2 linked regions of the Arabidopsis thaliana genome follow. The protein of the gene in region 1 interacts with the protein of each later gene in a pairwise test. Each region holds a gene or a part of one and is shown on either strand. Other genes may lie near its edges. The genes, in order: AT1G34750 and AT1G04960.

Region 1 (4,597 bases):
AGAATGGGAAAAATGTCAAAAAAAGCACGAACTTTCAAATTTGGGAAGAAAAAACATAAACTTTCAAAATGCCATTAAAATCGTAAAGTTTTGTTTGACTTTTGATTAAATAGTCAAGTTTCGTTGACTTTGCCATTTCGGGCATCTCGTTAAGTTTCCGTTAACAAAAAAATCACAGAATTAACACTCCGTTACCATTTTCTGTTAAAAGTGAAACGACGTCGTTTTGAAATTCTAAATAAAAGAAAAAAGTAAACCCACAAGGATTCGAACCTATGGTCTTTTGCCTTTCAAAGAATCATTAAACCACTGAGCCACGAGAACATATTAACAAAATGAAAAACACATATATATATAAGATATAAATATACAATTAATTAAAAATAACCAAACAAAGATCTATATTAATGCATTTAATTTAAATTATTCTTTCTTAAATTATATAAAAAAAGAAACATATGAAATAGAGAAAATGAAATATATTGCCTAAATAAATGGTTTCTTATATTGTTTCCATCTAATTATGAACATCACATTTAATTATTTGAAGATGGAATGATTATATTTTATGTTTATCTTATATATATATATATATATATATATTACAAGTTAATTTATCGAATAGATATGTTTTTATAATTAAAAATATTTATAAAATTAAATTGAATAAAATTCTATGTGCATGTATAAATTAATCCTATATTTATTTGAGAAGGATTGTATAAATTTTAGCCTATTTTCTAATTTCATAAGTTTCAATTTTTTTCATAAAATAAAATGAAGAAAAAATAAATTTTCAGATAAAAATTCAATGCATTTAGAAGAAATCTCTATATGTAAAATTAAAAATATGATATTTCGAAATGTATATTTATGGTATGTATATTTAATATTTGTACATATTTGGTTATTTTTAATTAATTGCATACGTATATGTTATATAGATCCGTTTGCAATCTGTACTAGAATAATATCGTGGCCCCAATGGTTGAGTGCATCTGAGGAAAACAATACGTATCTGGATCGACGTCGTTATTTTATTTTAGATTTTCGTGGACTCACAATCGTTATTTTATTTTAGATTTTCAAACGACGTCGTTTCGTCTGTAACAGAACATATTAAACGGAAAATTAACGCTGTATTTTTTTTGTTAACGGAAACTTAACGACATGTCTAAAATGGCGAAGTCAACGAAACTTTACTATTTTATTAAAAGTCAAACAAAACTTTACGATTTTAGTGGCATTTTTGAAGTTCATGTTTTGTTCATCCCAAATTTGAAAGTTTATGTTTTTTTGACATTTTTCCCGTTCTATATTTCACAAGTTATTTTTAATTAGTTTTGTGTATATATATAAATATTTCAGTTTACAATAATATCAAAACGTTATCGTAGCATATTTGGTTGAGCGCTTGTAATAATTCTGGAGAGTCATGAGTTTGATTCCTTCTTGGCACATATTGTGTAATATATTTTCATTTTGAAACGACATCGTTTCGCTTCTAACGGAAAATGTTAACGAAAAGTTAACTCCGTTGTTTTGTTGTTAACGAAAACTTAACGACATGTCCAAAATAGCAAAGTCAACGAAACTTAATTATTTTATCAAAAGTCAAACGAAACTTTATGATTTTAGTGGCATTTCGAAAGTTCACGTTTTTTTATCCCAAATTTGAAAGTTCATGATTTTTTTGAGAATGCTAATTAATGATTTCAAGAGTTTTCTTTAATTGAGAATGACGTCGTTTAGCAAATGAATGGATACATAACATGTCTGATTACTCTCTTAAACCAGTTAACAATATTTAAATCATATTGAAAACAAGAGGACAAAGCCAGAGCGACTCTGCTTTTAAGACACGGCAAAAAAGTCAACCAACGAACCCAATAACAAGGAAAGAGATTTGTTTTTCATTTCTAATGGAAAAAAAACAGCAAAAATTGAAGTCTACTCGTCGTAGTAGTCGTCGTCTTCCACTAATTCCGTGGTTTTTTTATCGAAGACTTTTGAATAAAGTACATTTGCAGAGTCTGTCAATAACCCTTTCTTCACGGTATTGCTCTCAAGCCGCGTACTGGTAGGCTCCAAAATTATCCCTTCTTTATGGTTTTTGGAACCTGGGTTCTCCGATTTTGAGGTAATCCTTATGTGGGTTCTTTCTGATTTCGTGTTTTGTTTTATTAAAAGGACTTCTATGTTTTTTTGGGGGTTTCTGAAAAGTTCGGTTTTTGCAGGTTGTTGAAATCTTTGAGTAGATTTTTGTGGAACATCTGACTCTCATGGCGAAGTTATGTTGCTTCGGTTCTTCAGACTACGATGTATGTAATCTCAAATCTTGTCTTTTTTTTCTTTTCTCTTGGGCCAATAAGTGGTTAAGATGGTACTATGTCTTGTTGAGTTTGAGAGATGTCTTAAACATTTTGTGTCTAATGTTGAACAATTATGAGATATGAATTTGTCTTTGTTGGTTGGTGTAGCTTGTGGTTGGGAGGGCATCGACTAGTTCTGGAAAAGGGAGAAATAACGACGGCGAGATTAAATTCGGTTACAGCTTAGTGAAAGGGAAAGCTAATCATCCAATGGAGGATTATCATGTGTCTAAATTCGTGAAAATAGACGGTAACGAGCTCGGTTTGTTTGCAATCTACGATGGTCATTTGGGTGAACGTGTTCCTGCTTATCTACAGAAGCATTTGTTCTCCAATATCCTCAAAGAGGTGTGTAGAAATTTTCACTATTATATAGGCTCTTCACTGCATCTACTGGCTCGTGTTTGAAACGGTGTGTGTGTGTGTTCAGGAGCAGTTTAGGTATGATCCTCAGAGATCAATAATTGCTGCCTATGAGAAGACAGACCAAGCCATTCTGTCACATTCTTCTGACTTAGGCCGTGGTGGCTCAACGGCTGTAACCGCTATTCTGATGAATGGACGGCGTTTATGGGTGGCAAATGTGGGTGATTCTCGGGCGGTTCTATCTCAAGGAGGTCAGGCAATACAGATGACTATTGATCATGAGCCGCACACTGAAAGGTTGAGCATCGAGGGTAAAGGAGGCTTTGTATCCAACATGCCAGGTTAGTCTTCTCCTTCACTCGTTTTTGAAAACCGTCTTTCCTAATCGTTTTATAAAGATGTTTGATTTATTGCAAATCAGGATTTCGCGGTCCTACAGATAATACCAAAACGTATCAAATTCAGATAAAAGTTATCCCAACACATGTTTTATGTTCTGTTTTTTTTTTGCAGGAGATGTCCCTCGGGTTAACGGGCAGCTAGCGGTTTCTCGTGCTTTTGGAGACAAAAGCCTCAAAACACATCTACGGTCAGATCCTGACGTTAAAGATTCATCGATCGATGATCACACAGATGTTCTTGTTCTTGCTAGTGACGGTCTATGGAAGGTAAACAATGATGTTTGTGATTTGTGAAGGAACTGGTTGGCGTTTTTGGATTAAAACGGTTTTGATGTGTAAATGTGTAGGTGATGGCTAACCAAGAGGCGATTGATATTGCGAGAAGAATCAAAGATCCATTGAAAGCAGCGAAAGAACTAACAACCGAAGCGCTTAGAAGAGACAGTAAAGATGATATTTCTTGCATTGTCGTCAGATTAAGGTGATGAAAGATCTTTTGAAACCCACCAAGGAAAAAAGATGGAACAACTAGAAATGGAAGAAACCAAATAAATAAGTTTGATTTTGAAGAGTAGAAGATATTTTTACTTGTGTTTTTTTACCTCCGGTGTAGAATGGTTGATTGGTTTGCGCAATGTTTGGTAATTTGATTGGATTTTTTTTTTTGTGGTTTGTGTAAGTGAAAATGAATCATATCAGATTTGGTGTATAAAACCATGAGAAGATTACTCTCAAGTGGGTGGGGAGTGTATATAAAAAGCTGTGTGCTTCTTCTGATCTATGTTATTAAACAGTTCTCTATTTTCGTTGTTTTTTTTTTCGTTTACAATGTTTGTTTTTTTCCGATAATATACTCGCTCATATATTTTAATCAACCGAAAAAAAATTCAATAGAAATTAAACAATTTATAAAAACTATTTGTGATTCTTCATTGGTAAATAAACTGTGTTTATCTTAAAAAAAACATAGTTGAAAAATTTATTAACAACCAAAACATATTTCGAATACATCGACAACCAAAAATATTCAATATAAATTAATTAATTTGTAAAAACTATTTGTGATTCTCCATTGGTAAAAACTACTCGCCCATACATTACACAATTAGATATTAGAATAATTTACATATTTTTAGAGTAAATACTTGAATCTCTTAAAGTGTATCGTATTATAGACATCAAATGAAATTTATTAAGCGAAGGGTCAAAATGTAAAAAGTATTAATATAACTAAGTTAATAAATTAAACATATGTGTTTTGATAGAAAAACAAGATAATATCAACATTTAACTTACGATCGCCTCTATATGTTGTTCAATTTTATCTTGCATTAAATCGAAGTAACATATGCTTCGTATATGATATTTTGTGTTGATAAAGATAGAGTTATCAATCATCGGCAATAGACTATGGTACAAAATTCTCTAATTGACAACATAAGGGTTCAGAAAGAGAAG
Region 2 (5,673 bases), about 11 Mb from region 1:
ATATTAAGTAAGAAAAAAGCACAAAAAATCATTGGAACCTCCCAATTAAACCATTGTTGGGCATACACAATGAATCGCAATTCAACAGCCCAGAAGACAAAGGCTGCTTCCATACTCCGTAAAAGTGTGAAATTTGTCCCGTTAACCAAAATTCGAGCACAAAAATAAGTTGGAAATTTACATGAACCGGAGAGGGATTTGCGTTGAGCGACGAAGATCCAGACACTTCACTTGAGAGGAAAGAAGCTCCGATTAACCGATGCCAAGCCTCTTGTTAATATAAGAAGCCGGGCCGGGTTTTTTAATTGCTGTCAAATTCACCCGGTTGGACTATTTCGGGTTAAATTAAATTTGGGCTGTCTCTATATCTATTTTGGGCCAAGGCCCAATAAGAGCGAAATATTTTATTTCTCTGCCAACTAAAGACAATTAATCCTACGAGAAAGGACGAAACAAATGTTTCAAGACAGTAGTTCTGTCTTCTGTGGTAGTTCTTTCTATTTTCTACACAAACAAAATTGATCCAAACACAAAAGGAAAAAGGAGCACAAAAGTCCAAATCAATGAAGACATCAACATACGTGAAAGCCTTAATCACACTCTTTCTTTACAAACATCAAGACCAAATATAATTAGGGGCAAACCAAATTGTTGGTGGATGCAATAACATATGTAGATTTTTCTTCTTTTTACATGAAAAAATAATTGCCAGTCCCAGTATCAGAATTTGGGACGAATACAAGCAATTTCTTTGTATATCAACCAAAATAATATTAGGATAGTCCTGAAACATCCCGTACCCAAGATATTCCACCTGGAAACGCTCTATGAACTCTGCTTCTTCCCGCTGCAGTGACTTTTGTTTTTTCCCCCATCACCATAATTTCTTTCGCCATAACCGGCTTGTGTATTACATTTGCATCCTCTTTGCCTTCCGTCAGAAACCGCAGACCCTGGAGTTTCCATAGTTTTATAGTTTTAGAAAGCCAAAGAAACATCATGACATGAAATCATCAAATAACAGCTACTACCACAAGTATTTTCAGGTTCCAATTTTTATTCGAATAAGCTTGATGAGAGATTGCCTTGAATATATGCAAATTCAAGATCAACCATCTCGTTGAATTTTTTCACTATAAGCAACTTTTTTGCGTCAACAGAATGGAAATGCACATTTATATGATGGAAAAAGGTATAGTAGCATTCTTACAGAGAGAGAAGTATTAGTGGATGGTTTTCCATCAATAGGTAATCTCTCACCAACATCCTAAACCACAAAGCCAGAAACAAGATTTTTTTCATTAAGGCCTATAACTACGTGAAAAATAAGTAAGAAAACGTTTCACTTAATTTGTAAGTTAACACTCACCTGAAATACTTTAGTACTTGTGCTGTCTTTAACGCCTGCAACTTGACATAGATGCCATAGTCCAGAGAGGGTCACATCCTAAAATTTTAACAAAAAAAATATCTGTTTGAGATCAATTAGTTTTAAGAAAATTGATAGCGTGAAGTGGTTTGTAGTATCTAATGGTTGTAGACAAATTACTTGTTTGCTTTCAAGACTTTCAATCTTCCCTTCCTGTAAAAATTTCATATAAGAGAGTAAAGATATATTAGCCCCTTTAAAATATGCATATTAGAGGGCAATGATGCATATTAGAGGGCAATGATGAGACTTACTATTCCAGAAATCATTTCATTAAGTTGCTTAAAATCAAACCCAATTTGCGAAATGCTTGATCTCATCTCAGTAACCTGAATTGAAGCAAGATTCCATGTGAGCATTAGCATTAAAATGAATATCAAAGAAAGGCATAGATGGAGTAAATCGCAGATATGAGAATCAAGCTGTAATTTGAAAGAAACAAAGGACTCTACTGTACATGTGAAGAAAAACAGTTCAGGGCCAAAGAGATAGGACGTTAATAAATAAATACTCTACAATCTTTTGGAATTCCTAAATGTGTTTTAAATTCTTCTAAGATGTTAAATGTACAAGAGGAGATCTCTCTCAGACGAATGTATAAGTATCCTAATCTTAAGTCTAAGGAAAAAATAAGGCATCAATACAAGAAAGTGAGAAATAAAACGGGTTCCTTACATCACTTAAGATCATTTTAGATGTCTCATTCTGCTCTTCCACCTTCCAATCCAAGGTCGCTAGCTTCTGAGAAAGATGTTTCCTTGTTGACTGCGTAAACAAATGCACTAGGTCAAAAAATCATAATGAAATAGAATATATAACAGAGGAAGGTCTCAAAAAAATTATTTGTTCACCGCTAATGTGTCTGACAAATCGTCTAGTTGTTTCGAAACAGAGGCAACCGCATCAGCCATATTTTTCTTTGTCACAAACATTGCATCTGAAAACGACCAGCCCTGCAATGTGGGTAAACCTTAGAAGTCAATGATATATAGTTTACCGGTAAACCACATGTTACAAAACTATAACAAAAGACACATGAAACATAGAGAAAAATAGACAGATTTTAAAGAGATAAACACCTTCCACCACATGTAGCAGTACCCCATAGCTCCAACGGCAGCCGCTGGAACCAGGTAAGATGCATAGCCTACAAGAGCAAAAGCAAAGATTATATCATTCTCTGTTTCTCATAAAAAATAAACATATTTGAAACATTTCCTACATTATCAAAAGTAGTACATAAATATTTTATGAGAAACTAAGACTTGTACATACCACTGGAGTTTGAATCTCCATTAAAGATGGTAACTGGATTGGTCATAGTTAGTTCTTTGATCTCGTTTGCAAGCTGTCGAATCTGGTTATCAAGAGACAACAAAAATTATGTCACTAAGAGGGGAGTCCAGTATTGGCCTAGTGATAAAGAGTGATGAATTATTTTCTATTCCGATTGTTTATGTTGGATCGATGAGAAAAATAAGCTTACAGAGCAAAAGAAAATGAAATACCTGAGCAGCAAGGAGTGCACCGTCATACTTAAAAGGAGTGCTTTCAACTCCTTGAGCACCATTGAGTAAGTCTTGAAGTTGGGCTATTAGGTCAGACAACCTCCCATGTCTCAATACGATCGAACCAGATACACCTTGGACATGATGAAAACAGAACCAAGTGTCATTAAAGGTCATTAAATGGAACATCCAAGCTAGAATAACTAAATCATTCTTGCTACATCCAAGCTGTATTACCATCAAAACTACACTAACGATTGAAGATTAGAAGTTCTGGACCATTTTAGCAAAGTGATCAATCAATTTGCCAAGATAAATTCAAACCCTAACTCTTCATAAAACAATTCCCTAGATTAGAGAGTCAAAGCAATACGAATCGAATTTGATTACAACAAGCAAAGATAATAAAACAAGCATCAAAGTGAGAAAGAGACCTGCGCCGAGTAGGATAAGGACCTTAGAGGTCTGAACACCGGCTTGCATCGCCATGAATTCCGGTTACAAGCTGAAAAAGATTCTCGATTAATTCTCTGTTCCGTGTCGCCAAGCCACCGCGAGAGACCAATTATGACACCCTTTTGCCCTTTAGACCTCAATTTTAGCTTTGATTTACCACAAAGATAAATACTTTTCAAAACTTATGTTCTTACCCCCGAAGCTTCCAATTTTAATCGAACTATTGTCCTTAGACACATATTAGAATATTTAACACCACTTGAGCTTATATACATATCAAACGTTAATATGTACAGTATATACAATTACATATGTATTTATACTTTTATTGCCCTATAGACCTCAGCTTTAGCTTTGATTGACCAGAAACATTAATATTTTAACAATTTATGTATTCACCCCAAACACTTCCTTTTGAATCAGATTACCCCAGAAGGCAATGCAAATCGAATGACTAAGGTTATTTTAGACATTTCTCAATAATCCAAACCATTACGCAACTTCACTGTATTAACCTGTTTTCTTCATCGAAGAAGATAGAGAGACCAAAACAAAAAAAGCTTTGAATATCCGCCATGGATGTTGGACGATGCTTTCTCTTTCTTCTATTACCAAGTTTCTTCTTCTTGCCTTCACAAACGCAGAGCACCGATTCATTCACATCGGTTCTCGTATCTCAAAACGGACTCGATTTCGTCAAAAATCTTCTAGTTAACAAAGCTATCGCGTCGATTATACCTCTCCAGATTCCCAGAATTGAGAAATCTATGAAAATCCCGTTCCTTGGAGGAATCGATGTTGTTGTCTCGAATCTCACGATATACGAGCTTGACGTTGCGTCATCTTATGTTAAGCTTGGTGAGACAGGTGTTGTCATCGTCGCTTCAGGGACGACTTGTAATTTGAGTATGAATTGGCATTATTCTTACAGTACTTGGCTTCCTCCTATTGAAATATCTGATCAGGGTATTGCATCTGTTCAGGTAATTATGATCAATTTTACTAATTCTTAGTTTTGATCATCTCAATCTTGTGAATCAATGGAAAGACAAGATTTTTCTTGCGAATCACAAATTTCTGTTCTGTTTTGTATCCTTATGTTTCGTGATTGTTATATGTCTTAGAACATAGTTGCATATGGGAATCAGAGGTGACTGTTGCTCTCTGTTTACCATTTCCATGTGTTGGTTTTAGTTGTTGCTGTGATCTGCTCATTTTTATATCTGTTTTACAAAGGGAATTTGATGAGTGCTGATTCTCGCCTTCTCGGTAAGGTTCAAGGCATGGAAATCGGGCTCTCTCTAGGCTTGAAAAGTGATGAAGGAGGCTTAAAACTTTCTCTTTCGGAATGTGGATGCCATGTGGAAGACATTACCATTGAGTTGGAAGGAGGAGCATCATGGTTTTATCAGGGGTACGAAATAATTTGCTTATTGATGATAGATCCACTCCCTCTTATTGCAAGACAGGTGTTGGTTTGTTTTTCATTTTAAACTTCATTCTCTTCTCTGCAATTCAGGATGGTTAATGCATTTAAAGACCAAATTGGGTCAAGTGTGGAAAGTACCATTGCCAAGAAACTCACGGAAGGAGTATCAGACCTTGATTCATTCCTACAAAGCCTTCCAAAGGAAATCCCAGTGGATGATAATGCTGACCTTAATGTCACTTTCACCAGTGATCCTATATTGAGAAATTCATCTATCACTTTTGAGATTGATGGCTTGTTCACCAAAGGAGAAACAAATCAAGTCTTAAAATCCTTCTTCAAAAAGTCTGTATCTTTAGTTATCTGCCCTGGAAATTCTAAAATGCTCGGAATTTCAGTTGACGAAGCTGTTTTTAACTCTGCTGCAGCTTTGTACTATAATGTAAGTTCCTAATTTCCTAATTCCTTAGGTTCCAACTAGAAAGAATGCTCTTGATAAAACTGTTCTATATGTTTCCGATACATCAATATTACTGTTTTCCACCGTTGTTTCTAATATGAGGATGTTCACTCTTGCCATATTCAGGCAGACTTTGTGCAATGGGTTGTGGATAAAATACCAGAGCAGTCTCTTTTAAACACTGCTAGGTGGAGGTTCATCATTCCACAACTATACAAGAAATACCCGAACCAGGATATGAATCTGAACATCAGTTTGTCCTCACCTCCGCTTGTAAAGATATCAGAGCAATACGTTGGAGCTAATGTTAATGCAGACCTAGTAATCAATGTTCTAGATGCAAACCAAGTAATACCTGTAGCTTGCATCTCCTTGGTGAGTCCTCCAATGA

What was found.
Region 2: the proteins of AT1G34750 (region 1) and AT1G04960 interact in a protein complementation assay, tested with the Arabidopsis thaliana proteins (one large-scale study listed by BioGRID).

Annotation. Positions count from the first base shown.
Region 1 is NC_003070.9:12,735,413-12,740,009, reverse strand, and holds AT1G34750 (Protein phosphatase 2C family protein), read left to right. Parts: upstream 1-1,813; 5' UTR 1,814-2,140; exon of another isoform or gene 2,141-2,237; 5' UTR 2,238-2,282; coding exon 2,283-2,321; intron 2,322-2,480; coding exon 2,481-2,720; intron 2,721-2,802; coding exon 2,803-3,079; intron 3,080-3,251; coding exon 3,252-3,406; coding exon of another isoform or gene 3,407-3,433; exon of another isoform or gene 3,434-3,486; coding exon 3,487-3,624; 3' UTR 3,625-4,010; downstream 4,011-4,597.
Region 2 is NC_003070.9:1,407,248-1,412,920, forward strand, and holds AT1G04960 (golgin family A protein (DUF1664)), read right to left. Parts: upstream 3,622-5,673; 5' UTR 3,427-3,621; coding exon of another isoform or gene 3,372-3,426; 5' UTR 3,178-3,371; coding exon 2,938-3,177; intron 2,787-2,937; coding exon 2,705-2,786; intron 2,577-2,704; coding exon 2,509-2,576; intron 2,383-2,508; coding exon 2,281-2,382; intron 2,195-2,280; coding exon 2,105-2,194; intron 1,759-2,104; coding exon 1,684-1,758; intron 1,583-1,683; coding exon 1,550-1,582; intron 1,448-1,549; coding exon 1,370-1,447; intron 1,268-1,369; coding exon 1,211-1,267; intron 954-1,210; coding exon 774-953; 3' UTR 525-773; downstream 1-524. Other genes in the region: AT1G04970 (lipid-binding serum glycoprotein family protein), read left to right, coding at 3,969-4,376, 4,668-4,807, 4,913-5,264, 5,409-5,657.